Rhinolophus ferrumequinum: one gene and its partner. The protein of the gene in region 1 interacts with the protein of each later gene in a pairwise test. Links are inferred from orthologs where the notes say so. Each region holds a gene or a part of one and is shown on either strand. Other genes may lie near its edges.

Region 1 (8,238 bases):
ATACTAGTAAGTTTATAGCTGTAATTAGCACGTATTCGTAAGAGGCAAACATTACATACAATGAGCTAGGGTGCATATACAAACTGTGTTCTTCCAAAATGCTTTTAGCTGTTTAAAGTGGTTGCAAAAACCTGAACTTGAGCTAATGTATGGCTATTGCGGGTTATAATTATTAGTATGAACACCAGGTTCTTAGAGGGGAAATGCTGAGCCCTAAGAATAGTTTCGAGCTACCAAAATTAGCAGTGATGTAATATCATCCTGAAATATCAGGAACAGATATGTTCCCACAGTCCTGTTAGGAAACCTGCACTTGCCCCGGTGCTCCAGCAACTGCATAAAGCCTGGGAAGGCCGGTCAGCTCGAACCCTCAGAAACATGCCCCCTCAGATCCAGTGAGGTTTTACAGAATTCCACAGGGCATAGAGATCAAGTGGTATGAAGAGGTAGGAGCTCAGGTCTCAAAGATGACCCATCCTCAGATTGTTAATTAGTATTTGACCCAGAAAGAGGAAATTTCACTAGGAACAGAAAATGGATTGATGAAGAAGTAGCTTCAGTCAAAACTGAGGACAGAAATCCTTTCACAGTGTCTTGCATTTTACAGCTTTATTAAAAGATTAGTTTTGACTTCACATTCACTACTCAGTTGTAAACCAAATGGGGGAATGGGTGGAGGAGATAAAAGCTCTCCACACAGATGTGCTCCTCTTTCCATGTCATATAAGTCCTGCTTCAGTTCCGAAATACCTGTCACACCGTCTGTTCCTGGATGTGATCTCTGTCACACTGCCTTAGATACTTATTTAGTTTTCAATTTGCAAGGAATCCTACCACCCTCTTCCATTGGAGGTGGTTAGTTGGCAGGGTGAGACTGGTGTAGACTGACGCTGGACAGTGAGTGGGAGGACACCCAAGAAGTGTTATGGAGATACTGTATTTACAAAACCCAGTAGCCCTTGGAAATAGCAGCTGTTCATTCCAGTTAAAAGGGGCTGCTACAGGGCTTGCAGATGAGGTCCTGCAGCTGACCTTGGTCTTAATATGAGCAGATTGTGACCCTTCAGGACTTCCTAGTACCACTAGTTGTCACTTCCTTTGTATTTAGCACTTCAGGATGTGTCACTGCTGGGCAAGAAATACTCTGAAATTCAGGCCATGAAGGGTTAGATTAGAGCAAAGTAATTTTGGTGAGCGATTTGGAGCTTTCAACCTCAGGTTTACAAGGAAAAACCCCGTCAGAACTTCCCGTGTTCTGGTCCTGTCCTGTAGTCTCCTCTAAGGGTCTTCCGAGACCCTTACAAGAGTACTACAGTAGGCATTTCACAGTGGAAATAGCCTCTGACAACACACTTCCAAATGCTTTCCAAATGCTAGTGCCAGTTCACAACAAGTACTTTTGTTTTTATTAATTTCTTGCCTTTACATATTTTGCCATCAAAATATATTCATTTTATTACATTTTAGAGGACCTTCGAAAAGTGCATACTATCTGAAACCACCGAGCAGTTATTTTTTGATAGACTTGATTGACAGTTCTCTTAATCATTTTTAAACTACCTGTCTACTAGAGTCTTAGAAATTCTGTGCTAGAATGGGCCTTATGTAATTAGGTGATTCTGTCATTTTCTAGAGAAACCCACAGGTTAAAGTGGCTTTTTTAACAGAGAGCCAGTTAGTAACAATTCAGAATAGCATATACTTCTTTTTTCTCAGTCCGTTTTTCTACTTTGCTTCCCTTTTCCTCGTAGATGAGTAGCTTTTGGGAAAATACGTTCCTTATAGCCATAGTTCAAAGGGTTGTTATTAGAGGTTATAAGGGAACAAACGTGTGGGGGGGACGAGGGGACGCCATGGTCAATTAAAATTGAGGCACGCTGAGTTTATTTTCTTTCTTTAGCTTAAGAGGAGATGTTTACTTAGACTTACTCGACCTTAAACTGCGCCCCCATCTTGTTTTCTTAGAGCATCTCAAAGTGCCACTGGTCCTTTGGGAAACAAGGCTCTCAAGTAAGTTTACAGCTGTTTTAGAAGACATCCTTAATGGAAATTCTGAACGGTCAATTTGTTACCATCGTACCATGTAACTGTAATAAATCTCAAAGTTTAGTGAGATATTAGAAAGAAAACATAATTGCTGTTCAGAGCTATACGCAAAGTATAGAGATTCTTTTCCACCTATGGTGTGTAAAATCAGTATTTGTGTTTAGTTGTCAAAGTTTTTCAAGGATCAATTAATGTGCAGATACAGTGAGGATAATTGATATTACATTTTAATAACGCTTTTGTATGGCACTTTATTCAGACTGCTTTCGTAACAACCCTGTGAGATAGGCCGGTGTTCAACATTATCAGAGACACTGGCGGCCTCAGAAAGTTTTTTTGTAATCTTTTTTCCCCTTAAGTTTATACCACAAAATAATGGAGCCAGAATTCAGTTTCAGAATTTCTGACTCCAAGTCCAGAGTTATTTACTACTACACCAGGTTTCTTATTTTTTCTTCCAGCTTTATATTTTACAATGAAAGGTGTGGATACAAATCTTAAAGTAACATCATTTTGGTTTATTATCAACACTATTTCTTTGTTATTGCAGACCCAGAAAGTGTAACTCCTATTATAGCTATCCCAAAGAAAATCCTTCTTTTGTCCTTTGCAGCGCCACTTCTTTAGGGGACTGGAGTGTATTTCAAATACCATTTGATTTTGAAACCAAGATTGGATATATTGTTGTGATTGCTTATGTAATTTTGGAAAATGTATCATCTCTGCATTCTTAGGCAAAGTAGAGATGGTTTGAAAGTAAAAAAGATTATTCAAATACAATAATACATCTTTATTCTCACACAAATGCTGTTTCTTAGCTCTAACTTGCTTTGACAACCTCCCGATGTAACTTCTTTGTAAATGTAAAATATTTATATTTTGAAATAAAATGACTGGTGTTGAATGAATCAGGTGGTCACTTTAGTCTGATTTCTGCTGAGAAATTTGATCTTGAGTGAAGTCAGACTTTTACAGATGTAACCATCTGTCTGCTAGGCCTGACATCTTTCCCTTTGGCTCCAGTGCCTACACTGAATGTTTATGAAATATGGGCAACTTACATAAGGGAAGATGTGTTTTGGGAGTGAATGCTGGGCTTTCACCTTAACAACGTGAAAGGGTCCCAGGCTGAAGCTGGGGCCCTCAGTGCACAGGATAAGGTGGCCTTGTGGTAGAAAAGGATATGGTGAGGTGGGCGGCTGGGAAGTAATAATCAGAGGGGAAAAAAAGTTGTAGAAAGGAACTGCATATTTTGAATGAACAAAACAAGCCTAAGCTATGGCTGTACTCAATACCAAAGATATCCGTGCAGCACTGGCAGGTGGAACTGACCCCATAGCGGAAGTACCGCGAACCACATTTCAACACTGCTTGGAAAAGAGCGTGCTGACACCTTGAGTTGGCGGTCTGCAGCTCATCAATCTGACATTATGGATGGAGAAATTATTCTGGCCAAGGTGTAAGGCTGTGCTAGCCAGCCTCAGAGTCTTTTCTACTCTAATAGTTTCTCATCGGCAGATACCATATGTGCTAGTTTACAAAATATTTCTTCATGCTTCTCAGTCTATTGCTTAAGCCTAGACTCCTTAAGAAAGTGTGTACTTTCTGACAACCTCCTTTTGGCTTTGCTCCTGGAATCCTTAGGGTAAGAAGTGTTCAGCTCTCCCATCCCAGTCACGCAGGGGTTCTGTCTTTTAGCCTTACTCTTAAGTGAATTTAGTCAGAAGTATACACCCATGAATAATCTTTTCAGTAACTGAACAGATCTGTTAAACTCTTCTGTAGTAGGCAACAGGGGAAAAGTAATTTTGAAAAGTAGTTTTAAAAAGTTAATAGTATTGAACAGTAGGTGAAGCTTTTCCATATGCTCTTTAATTTCGTTTTCAGGAATAATTCTGAACAGTAGCCTGAAAGATACCCAAACCATTATCTTCTTGCTGAGTACCTAGATACTCCTTAATTACATTACCAAATATTTCCTCTTCAGTCCAGTTTAAAGTGTTTGTGAGAAAGATGCAGTCAGAAAAGGAGCAGCGTGGAGGAAAACGGGCCCCCAGAGAGACTATTACAGGTAGAATTCCTGTCGCTGGGTAAAATCCCCTCCCTACAGACCGGACTCTGGTTCTGTTCTACCAGTTAGTTGCAACTCCCAGCGCAGCTTCCAGAAATTTTCGCGGGAATAGGAGTTAGGACGAGTCACCTATCAGAAGGACTGGAAGCTTTGCCGGAGACGGTGTCCTTGTCGTGGTAAGAGGCCACGTGGAGGCGGAAAGCCCTCAGGTGTCTTCTATGTTCTAGTGGGGTGAGACGCGTGTGAGGTCCACAGAAGAGGGGTCCCACGAGCGGCGAGAGAGGGAGACGGGGCGGGGCCCTGGGTAGGGGGCAGGCTGCAAGGTGGACCCTGGACAAAAACGTGTGGGGGCGTGGCACAGGCGGGGCCGTTCCGGAGGCGGGGCTCGGCTGCTGCCAAGCAGGCCGGGGGTGGGGCTATCCCGGGGGCGGGCCGGGTTGGGGGCGGGGCCTCGGGAGGCGCGGGTGCATCGCGCTGCAGGCGGGCTGGCTGGCAGGCGGCGGGCCCGCAGTGGCCTGGCGCCTGGGCAGCGCGACCGGCGGAGGGCCATGGCCTCCTCTCCGGGCCCCGCCGGCATCGGTGGCGCCGGCGCAGTGCAAGGCTCGGGGTCGTCCGGCTTCGCCTTGGACTCAGGACTCGAGATCAAAACGCGCTCGGTGGAGCAGACGCTGCTCCCGCTGGTTTCTCAGGTAAAGTAGCGCCCAGCCCGGCCCCTTGTCTCCCTCGGACCGCGATGGCGGTGGCTGCTCGCGCGGCTGGGCCCGGGCCGGAGGCAGCCGCTGCCCCACATTCCGCACTGGTACTGCGACTTCGGGGCCGGACCGCCTGTCTGGGCTTGGGGACTGGCGGAGGCGGAGGCGGAGGGAGTCGGGACCCTCCGAAATTCGGCGGCGAGGCCGAGTGGGATGACCTGCAGGGGAGGCTGCGGGGCGGGGAGCCCCGTTGGAGACCTGAGTGCCCCGCCGGCAGGTGCGCTGCCCGGCCTGCCCCATAGGACCCGCCTTGGGGCTGCAGTTCCGGCGGCCCCGGCCCCGCGAGGCCCCCACCGCTGGTGGGCCGCCAAGCCTAGCTTCCCACGGGCAGAGAGGGTCCCTGCGGGGCCCTCGCTGGCCCTGCTAGTTGCCGCTCTTTAACCCACTGCGGGCACACGTTTGCATCCCCAGCCCAAAGCCGTACTGGTGGCCACTCTGGCTGGGGCATTCCTACTGGCCTCCAAGTCCAGCGTGCTCTCCCGCAGGCCTTTGTGCCTTTCCCCTGCGTGTGTGTCGGCTCGCCAGGCTCCCATTCACCCCGGGCCACGCTGCCCCTTCCCCTTAACCTGCCTGCTCGCTTCAGTCGGCTTTTGTCCCGCCTGGGAAGAGGGAAGTGAAGGACTGTCTGATAGTTCATCCGGACGCACATCTTTTTGCCAAATCTCATGTGGGATAATATGCTTCATTGTAGTTGTTGGTCATACCAGAAGTCTGCAATCAGCTAATTGACGCGCGTAGTTTTAGAAAAGTTTTTGTTACGGTGAGCCGGCTTATACACAGCCCGAAGGCTAGAATTCCTCACCTAGATCTGTTGTTCTGTGCCAAGCGCTCGCTGGAGGGAGTGAAGAATCTTGTGCCTTGAGGAGCGTTGGCGACGTGTGACTCACGACTAGATGGCAACGTCTTCATGACTCACAGTTTGCCCAGATTTTAGAGGTAGAAGGAATCTTAAAGGTTATCTGATTCTAAATTAAAAAATTCTTTTCTTACAGCATCCTCCACACCTGGTCACCGGTCCCTTGCTTAAACATGTTCAGTGATAGGGATCCCGGAGCTGGTCCAAACAATTTTACATGCTGTCTCTTCTCCATCCCAGCCCTGCAAATATTTGAAAACGGTAGTCACACATGTCCCTAGATTCCTGTTATGCTCAATTAAATAAACAGCTCCATTTTCTTCACATGTGCTCATTTTAGACTGGCTAACAGAATAGTGAATGAAAACATCTGACTAGTCCCCTCCGCCTTCCCTTCCATGTCTGACAGAGGCCCTGACCAGTGGGAAGGAGGGCTAGGATCAGTTAGTAATGTATGCTGTGTCGCCTCCCCCAAAAGAATACCACCTTCACCACCAGTACAACTGCAACCAAAACTACTGGAGTAGTTTCAAGAGACACAAAGATCAGAGCGCAGTGGAGTTCAACTTGACAGTATTCATTTGTTTAACATTGTGCACCAGGCCATGTTCTAAGCACTTTATAAATATTAACTCATTTAGTTCTCGTAACTGTCCTATGAGGTAGATAGATGTTTATTCTCATTATGTAGATGAGAATACTGAGGGGCAGTGAGGTTAAATAACTTGTCATGGCACTTTCAACTATAAATGTCAAACTGGGATTTGAACGCAGGCAACCTGGCTACAGAGTATATGCCCTTAGCTGCACCATGTGCTGTGTCCTTTCTAGAGATTGGACGCAGTGAAGAGGTCAGCTTGTAGGAGGTACAGAGAACAGATCCACAATGGAAAAACAAGCTGGAAGGTTGTTGTAATCTGGAGAAATGATAGTTTTTCACAGTCCCACTGCTAAAAATGTATCAGTCCTACAGCTCTGTTGTGTAATTCTGGGGGGAAAGAGGCTGGAGGGAGTAAGGAGTGGAGGAGGAATGTGTGAATCGCGGCTGAGTTAACTAGAGGTCAATGCCAAAGGGGGAAAATGCCAGTTCTTTTTCCTCCCTGTTAATGACTCATTCAAGGCTATAGCTGAGGTTCTGCATCCCACTCGTTATGTACCCACAGCAATACCTTTAGCACAATACCATAATTGATATTTCTAATGATTGACTGTACTCAACAGGGAAAAGTTAAATTATGCTTCCAGTCGAAAAATGTAGCATGGCCAGAATAACTGTTAACAAAGCAGGAAAGTGTGGAGTACAATTAAGAATGCTGTTTTTAAGTTTCAGTGAATGTCAGTGGATTAAAACTGCAGCTTTCTAGAAACTCGTATTCAGTAGTCTCTTTTTCTGCGGATTATCCATTATTATCCAAGTCATGCTTCACCCTCTTATCCACAAGATTATTTAAAGCATTTTAAGAAAGCAGTTGTGTGCTTACTAATTGCTGCTCTTGGAGGGACTTGTATTCTAGTTGGGAGACAGGACATGGGTAGAATAATAGCACATGCCAAGTGTCAAATGAACATGAGATGTTCTCTAAAAGCTCAGAGAAGGCCTGGAGCCGTCGGAAGGATGCCATCGAGGAGACGGGGTCATGAGGTGAGCAAATAGGACTGGCACTGTACGTACAGTTGACTGAGTTTTAATCAGGTCGTTTCTACTCTAATACCATCTAACCTCTTCTGACTCTCCAAGTAAAAAGTTATGGGTACTACCGGCTTTATTCTAGGAATGCAAGGTTGAGTCAATATTAGACACATGTATACAATTTTCTACATTTGAAATATGTGTTTTCTAGCTAATAGGTACAGAAAAATCATTCAATTAAATTCAACTTCGAATCATGATAAATAGCAGTTAGCAAACTAGTGTCACAGAAGAAAACTTCTTTAACCTGATACAGTATATCTAGAGAAAACCTACAGTAAATATCATGGCAGCAAGTCACATTTAAAACAAACATTTCCTTTAAAACCAGAAACAAGGATGCCTGCTATCACGTCTTCTATTCCACACTGTACTGGAAATCCTAGCCAGTGCAACAAGACAGGGAGAAGTGAAAGTGGAAAGATAGGAAAGGAGAAATTAAGACTCTTATTGTGATATAATTATCTACATAGAAAACTCAAGAGTTTACAAATAAATTATAAAAATTAGGAGCGTTAGTAAGTTCACTGATTGTAGGATACTGAAGTCAACTGCATTTCTGTACATTAATAACAAGCAGAAAAGTTAATTGTAAGACACTACTGGGTAGAATAAAAATGAGGTTCCTAGGAATATATGTATAACAAGAGATGTCAAATGTTGCGGAGAAAATTTTAAAATTTTATGGAAAGCCAAAGTACATCTGAATAAATGAGAGAGAAGTACTGTATCTTTGGTTAGATGAATTGATATTATAGGCACATCCATTTTCCCTATTGATCTATAAATTGAACACAATTCCAATGAAAACAGGATTTTTAAA
Region 2 (8,154 bases), on another chromosome or scaffold:
CCACAGAGGAGGAGCCCAGAATTCTACATATCATCTGCCTACTCTCTGGAGGAACATAAAAGAATCTGGAGTTTGACAATGTATTATGAAGAATATCAGGATTATAGCCCTAAATTAGTAGACATATGAAGAAGCAAGAAAATGTAAATTATACTGAAGAGAAAAATCAATGGAGACTGAATCCAAGATGTCCCATATATTGGAATCAGCAGGCAAGAAGTTTAAAGCAGCTATTGCAACTATGCTCAATAAGTAAAAGAAAATATCATAATGAATAAACAGATATGAAATTTCAACAAATAGAAATTATGACAAAGAACCAAATGAAACTCTAGGACTGAAAAAATACAGTATGTGAAAAAAAAAAAAAACTCAGCCCAACAGTAAATTGGAGATGATTGGGTATCAGTGACTTGAAGACAGTAATAGAGCAATGGAAATTATCCAATTTAAAAAACAGGGAAAAAAGGGAATGAAGAAGTGAAAAAGTCTCAGTGACCTGTAGGACAATATCAAAAGCTCTAATTTACATGTAATTGGTCTCAGAAAGAGAAGAGAGAACTATTGAGGCAGAAAAAAATATTTGAAGATATATTGATTGAACTGTTTCCAAGTTTGGTGAAAGACGTGTAGAGACTCAAGAAGCTCAGTAAACTCCAAGTAGGATATATACAGAGAAAACCACATCCACATTCATTGTTGTCAATCTGCTGAAACAAAGATAAAGATAAAATCTTGTACAAACTGTCAGTTATAAAAACAGTCACAGGGATGTAAAGAACAGCATAGGGAATACAGTCAACAATATTGTAATAACTATGGTATTAGATAGGTACTAGACTTATTAGGATGATCATTTCATAAATTATTAAATATCTAATCACTATATTGCACACCTGAAACTAATATTGTATGTCAATGTAATTGGAAAAATTTAAAAATATTTTTAAAAGAATAAACAATTCCAATTGGAGAAAAAAGAAATATCTTGAAAGCAGCCAGAAGAAAATGATATACAAGGTATGGCAATTAAGTTCGTGAATTCATCCTAGAAAAAGTGCTACATACCTCATTGCTGAGTATCACTATGGTCAACTTCGAAGTACTTCCCTTGGGAAGCTATGCACCAACGCCAGCACCTAGTCCACCCTTCAAAGCAATTTTTTAAAAAATTATTTTTAAAATTATTTTTTTAATTGGGGAATATTTGGGAACAGTGTTTTTCCAGGATCCATCAACTCTATGTCAAGTTGTTGTTTTCAATTTAGTTGTGGAGGGTGCAGCTCACTGGCCCATGTGGAAATCAAACCGGCGATGGTGTTAGGAGCACTGCACTCTAACCACTGAGCCCAGCGATTCAGTTGCAAGCTCAAGCAGTTGTTTCTCACTGGTCCATGTGAGAATCGAACCAGCGACCCTGGTGTTATGAGCACTGTACTCTAACCATGGAGTGAACCAGCCACCCCTCAAAGCAATTTTGGAACTCTTTCTGGAATGGCCATCACAGCTGTCATCATACTACCCTTGATGTCCTGAATATCATCAAAATGTCTTACTTTCAATATTTCCTTTATCTTTGGGTAAAGAAAGAAGTCTTTGGGGACCAGATCAGGTGAGTGCGGAGGGTGTTCCAATACAGTTATTTGTTTACTGGCTAAAAACTCCCTGCCAGACAGTGCCATGTGAGCTGGTACGTTGTCGTGATGCAAGAACCATGAATTGTTGGCAAAAAGTTCAGGTTGTTTTCATCTAACTTTTTCACGCAGCCTTTTCAGCACTTCCAAATAGAAAACTTGGTTAACTATTTGTCCAGTTGGTACAAATTCATAATAATTTGTGAATAATAATTTGTGAAAAATAATTTGTGAATTATGATTTCTGATATCAAAAAAGTTTACAACATCATTGCAACAAGTTCGCTAACATAATTGTCAGACCTCGTATGCATATTTTTGTGGCCGAGAATTATTACAAAGTGATAAAAGTGATTAGAAACTGATAAAAGGCTTTCATGCACATATATTACTATAGAATATAGTTCTGTGGATAAATTGGAATGGAAATACAAGTTCAAGAAGATGAAAGAATGATACAATTTCCGATGTAAATGAAAAACTTGTTCAAGTATTATTTTTTTAAACTTTTATTTATTTGTGTTTTTCCACAAGCCATCAGCTCCAAGTCAAATAGTTGTTTCATTCTAGTTGTGGAGGGCACAGCTCACACTGGCCCATGTGGGGACTGAACCGGCAACCTTAGTGTTAAGAGCACCGTGCTCTAACCAACTGAACCAACCAGCAGCCCTAGTTCAAGTATTTTTACAGCTAGGGTTGAATACTTCCACCCTTTCTCCTTTTCTTGTAATCACTGCATGTTTTTGCCTAAAACTTTTAGGAGGTGCCCAAGAAAAATGTCTGAAGACCACTGGTTAATCCACCCTCTCAAAATACTTGGGTGTGTAATGGAGAAGAAAAGGAGAGGTACCTAAAGGGAGGCTTTTATCAAAGGAGACTGCATTCTTTAAGATGGGAAATTTGAGCTCGTGTGTTGGGTTATTCCTATTTTTCAGAAAAGAGAGGATCAGAGAAGCTATGAGTTTACGCCAGATGAGGAGACTCCGCAACAAAATCCAGGTAATACAGTTGACCCTTGAACAACACAGGTTTGAACTGTGGGCATCTACTTATACATGTACGATCCTGGGACTCCACAGATGCAGAGGCTGGCTGTATGCATTGATCTACAATAGGGCACTTGAGCACTTGAGTGGATTTTTGTAGTAGAGGGGGTCCTGGAACCAGTTCCCCCACCCGTGGATACTGAGAGACAACTAAGTGTTGGGGGAGTCAAAAGTTACATGTGGATTTTTTGACTGTGCAGAGGCTGGCACCCCTAACCCCTGAGTTGTTCAAGGATCAACTGTACCTCAGTCAGGATAGGCTATATTATGCTGCAGCAGCAAGCACCCACTATATCTCAGTGACCTGAACATATCTCGTGTATTTCTCTCCTTTACTACACATCAGTGTGGGTTGGCAGGTGATCTGCTCATCTTAGCCACTCAACTACTCAGGCCCCCAGATGATGGCTTCATCTCTGTAGTCAGGGCAGATGGCAGAGATACAATGACTAAGTTTTTTTAAGCTGGTAGGAAGTTAACAAGTGTTACTTCTGTGTGTTTCCAGTGGCTCAGAGAAGTGCCAATCCTACCAGGTGCCTAGAAAGGGAAACTTCGATGAGCAGCGCGAATAGGTAAATTCTATTGACTACTACCTGTCATTTCCAGTATTGCAAATTGCCACACGTTTGTATTATCTGGTACCTACTTTGAGACTGGATAAGACCGGGGCAAAATAAAATATAAGACATTGTTAGTTCATTTCAAAAGATCAGAGATGGGTTCTGGTCTCTGCCACTCAGTTATTGCTCTGTAAGTCTGGAAGTTCCTTTGCCTCTTTGGATCTTTGGGGAGGACTTGTGCTCTTCCAGTTGCAACGTTTTCTGGATGTAATGAGCTTAGGACCGGAGTAAGAGCGAAGGAAGAAAGCAAGCCCAACCAGGACCAGATGTGCTAGCTACAAAAAACCCCCACTGTCTAGTATTTTCGTCCCGAAGCCTGTTGTGTTAACGTGCTTTCAGCCAGCAGACAGCAGTACTGCTTTCAGCCAGCAGAGAGCAGTAAGGAGATACCACATTATAATAGCGATTTTAAAAGTCTAGAGTTACTCAGTTTTGCGCGTTCGAATCACCTGGGGGAGGTTTTTCAAAAATCCTGAGTCCGCGATGCACCGCAGACAAAGAAATCAGACTCTGGCAGCGGAGACCGAACATTGGTATTTTAAAAGAGTTTCCCAGCTTTGTGCGCTGGGTATTCTTGAATCCCTACTGCTTGTTAGAGGGGCTGGATGATACTTAGTCGGCACATCCTCTTTTTTTTTTTTTTGGACTTGGCTACCAGGCACTCCTGGCTCTGCCATTTATTACGGTCCCTTGTGAGGTTGAAATGGGGTCAAGATTGAAATACAGATTGACAAAGATTATATGTCCAGTCAGCTTTAGATGATTTTCATAAAGTATTTTGAATACAAGCCCCTTCTTTTTTGGATCAAGATAAAGGGCTGAAAAAAGAATACCTGACCAGTAAGATGGAACCAGAAAATTCAATATTTTTTTTTCCTTTTTTAAATTCCTTCTTTTTTTTTTTTATTTATTGGGGTGACAATTGTTAGTAAAATTACATAGATTTCAGGTGAGTCGGCACATCCTCTTGAAAGAGTTCTGGAATCGAATTCTCTGTTGTTTCTTCTCCCAAGAGCTGTCAGGGTTGCATTTTAATGGGGGGACATCAAGCTAGAGAAAATCTTCGGGCATCAGCGGGCTTCCTAAGGCTTGGGGCGAGCTGATTTCCCAGCGCAGGAGGCGGTGGTGAGGACTCGCTCTAGCCAGAGGGCGCTGCAGGCTGGGCGGTGGAGACTCTCGGCTTTCAGCGGGACCCGAGAAAGGAAAAAAGCTTGGATCGCTACGAGTAGAGGAAGAGGCAGCAAAGGAGGAGGGGAGAGGAAGAGCAAGGGAGGAGCAAGGGAGGAGCCGGAGGAGACGTAGCGCGGGCGGGCGGTCCCCACTGTGGCCCTGCTTCCGGACGGCGGCCTGGTCACAATGGCGGGTCTGGACATCGGACTCACGGTGCCGGTGTGGCTGGCCGAGGACGACCTGGGCTGCATCATCTGTCAGGGCCTGCTCGCCTGGCCCGTTACGCTGCCCTGCGGCCACAGCTTCTGTCGGGACTGCTTGAAGGACCTGTGGGGCGCAGGGCGCCACTGGTCCTGCCCCACTTGCCGCGAGGGCTCCGAGCAGCAGCTGGAGCTGCGGAAGAACACGCTGCTGCAGGACCTGGCGGACAAGTACAGCCGGGCGGTGGGCGAGCTGGAGGGCGGCCCGGGCCCGACCCGGAGCCCCGGCCCCTCCCCGCGACCCGCGCGCCGCACCGGGCTGCAGAAGGTAGGGTAGGCGGGTCCGGGTTCCCGTCTCTCCGTTACCACTATCTGCCCACGCTTCCTGCACCGCTTTCCCCCATGGATCTTCCTCCCTCCCTCATCCTTCCTACTTTCACATTACTTTTCTCCATCTAAAAGTAGAACCCGCTCTTTGGAAAGTTCAGAAGAGTATGAAGAAGCAGAAAAAAGTCCAAATCTCCTGAAATCCTTTCAATTTAGCTGCTATACACCTTGGCATATTTCCATTTCTTTGCAGTCTTTCTGCTGTCTGTGTCTCTGGCAATTTTTTTTCTGTTTTGTTACTTCGTTTGTTCTGTTCTTTAGATTCCACATATAAGTGAGACCGTATGGTATTTGTCTTTCTTCGTCTGACTTATTTCACTTTGCATAATATCCTTGCACAAGGTAAAATTTCATTCTTTTTTTTAAGGCAGAGTAATACTCCATTGTATATATGGACCACTGTTTCTTTATCCAGTAATCTTTTGATGAGCATTTTGGTTGTCTGGATTTTTTAATTGTGGTAAAATACATATAACAAAACTTGCCATGTTAACCATTAAGTGTACAATTTAATGCCTTTATTATATCCACAATGTTGTGCAGCCATCATTACTGTCTATTTCCAAAACTTCATCACCACAAACAGAAACTACCCACTAAGCAGTAACTTCTCATTCTCCCTCCTTGCAGCCCTCCCTGCCTCTAATCTTTCTGTCTCTCTGAATTTGTCTACTCTAGATGTTTCATGTAAGTGCAATTTGTGTCTGGCTTCTTTCACTTACCATAATGTTTTCAAGGTTCATCCATGTTGTACCATGCATTGGAACATCATTCCTTTTTGTGGCTGAATAATATTCCCTTGCATGTATATACCACTTTTTTTTTAATCCATTCATACATCAGTGGACATTTGGATTGTTTCCGCCTTTTGATGATTGTGCGTATTATTGCAGTGAACGTTGGTGTACAAGTATCTGAGTCCCTATTCTCAGTTCTTCTGGGTGAATACCTAGGACTGAATTTGCTGGGCCGTTAGTGTAATTATACGTTTAACCTGAGAAACAGCCAAACTATATTCCACAGCAACTACATCATTTTACATTCCCATCAACAAAGTTAGACGGTTCCAGTTTTCCCTGGCTTTTTCTTGTGGGACTTAGGTGGTTTATTGTGTCTTTCAACTAGAATCTTTTGTCCCAAACATCCGCTATGGTAGTTTAGTTCAGCTTGCAGCGTTTGCCTGAGTTAGGTGAAACAAAGATGAGCACACTGTGCCATTCCTTCAGGCAGCCCCTAGCCAGGTTTGAACAGACATACAGGACAATTTCTGAAAAAGGTCTGCTCTGCACCTTCCAGAACCAGGACAAGGGTTCCAGGATTCGTGAATACTGAGGGAGTGGGGATGGCCAAATAAAAACACCACGAAACTTTCCTAATGCCAGGTTGCTCTTTTTTGATTCAGTGTTTTCCAGAGTTCTGGCAAAGTTGGTTCTGATTGTTTCTGCTTGTTTTTCAGTGTTTCTGTGTGTGTGTGGCGGAGGTGGGGGGGTGAGGGGGGTGGGGTGCGGGGATGAGAGCTTAGAGTAGCCCACTACACCCGATTGCTAGTCTCTGCAGTCCTTTTAAATAGAGTTGAGGTCATGTTGTATAGGCAGGTTATGTCCTCTTATTTATTTATTTATTTTAAGTAACTATGGTTTTTGTGATTAGTTTCTTAATCTTTTAAACCTCAGTTACTTTTTTAAAAATTTTTAAGTGTGTTTTTCCAGGACCCATCAGCTCCAAGTCAAGTAGTTGTCTTCAATCTAGCTGTGGAGGGCACAGCTCACAGTGGCCCACGTGGGGATCGAACCAACAACCTTGTTGTTAAGAACACCGCGCTCTAACCTACTGAGCTAATCGGCCGCCCCGTCCTCTTTTTTTAAAAAAACTTAACTAACAGATTTTATTTCTTAGAGCAGCCCTAGATTTACAGAAAATTGAAGAGGTGCTCCAGAAAGTCCTCACACACCCCTCACGTTCCCCATATTATTAATGTCTTGTATTAGTGTGGTGCATTTGTTACAATTGATGAACCAATATTAATACATTATTATTTACTAAAATCCTAGTTTTCATTTACGTAGGTAGGGTTAACTCTTTGTGTTGTATGGTTCTATGGCTTTGACAAATGCATGAGGTTATGTATCTACAATTATGGTATCATACAGTTTTAGTGCCCTGAAAATCCTGTGCTTCTCTTGTTTGTACCCCTCACTCCAAACCCTGGCAACCACTGATCTTTTTGCTGTCTCTTTAGTGTTGTCTTTGCCAGAATGTCATATGCTCATAGTTGGAATCATAGAGTATCAGGCCTTTTCAGACTGGCTTCTTTCACTAAGCAAAATTAAGATTTGTGGCTCGATAGCTCATTTCTTTGTATTGCTGAATAATATTTCATCGCATAGAGTGGACCTTATACCTGAGACAGATGCCTTCCCCTGCACCACTCACTGCCAAATCTCCAGGCTGTCACCCTATTTCTTCACCTTTTGATGGACATGCTGGTTGCTTCTATTTTTTTTTTTTTCAATTATGAGTAAAGCTTGTTCTCTTAGATTATAAATGCAGCATTATCCTTCAGGTCCTTAAAATTCTTTATTAATGTAGTTTATAGTGACCGACTATATGTCCCATTGGCTTTTACATTAAAATGATGGTCTTTGGCTGGTGGGATATTGGATGATTTGAAACATTTCTTCTTTTCAATTCTCTGCATGTTCTAAATTCAAATAAGTGTGCATCTCTCTTATGGATAGAAAAAGCAATGTAATTATTTTTTTTAAGTTTTTGATTTGCTCAGACGCCTGGAGAAGGCCTCCATTCCAGAGTTCCAGCTGCTTGAATTTTAGGAGAAGGGCCTTGAAATTTAAGAGCAAACAATGTTACCAGCGGTCAGCCACCTCCCTCTCTGAAATAGCCTGGTTATGTCTTCCAAAACACATACAATTTGAGGGACACCAGGGCTTCTTAAGAAATGAAAAAGGTCCTGGGTCAATTCCAGTTTTTGAGGTTCCAGGAAAATTTAAAATAATGAAAAATGTCAAAGCCAAGTTATAAAAGCTCTGGTTTACTTAGAGTTCAATGATGAACACCTTATATTTCTGTGACTCTATGT

What was found.
Region 2: the proteins of CTNNAL1 (region 1) and RNF135 interact in binary tests that used the Homo sapiens proteins (3 or more experiments, as listed by UniProt). The two-hybrid records come from large-scale screens. The link is inferred for Rhinolophus ferrumequinum from reciprocal best matches to the Homo sapiens genes CTNNAL1 and RNF135.

The regions. Positions count from the first base shown.
Region 1 is NC_046295.1:62,086,302-62,094,539, reverse strand, and holds the start of CTNNAL1 (alpha-catulin), read left to right. Parts: upstream 1-4,579; 5' UTR 4,580-4,665; coding exon 4,666-4,806; intron 4,807-8,238. UniProt on the Homo sapiens protein: May modulate the Rho pathway signaling by providing a scaffold for the Lbc Rho guanine nucleotide exchange factor (ARHGEF1).
Region 2 is NC_046304.1:20,583,620-20,591,773, forward strand, and holds the start of RNF135 (E3 ubiquitin-protein ligase RNF135), read left to right. Parts: upstream 1-4,584; 5' UTR 4,585-4,656; coding exon 4,657-4,998; intron 4,999-8,154.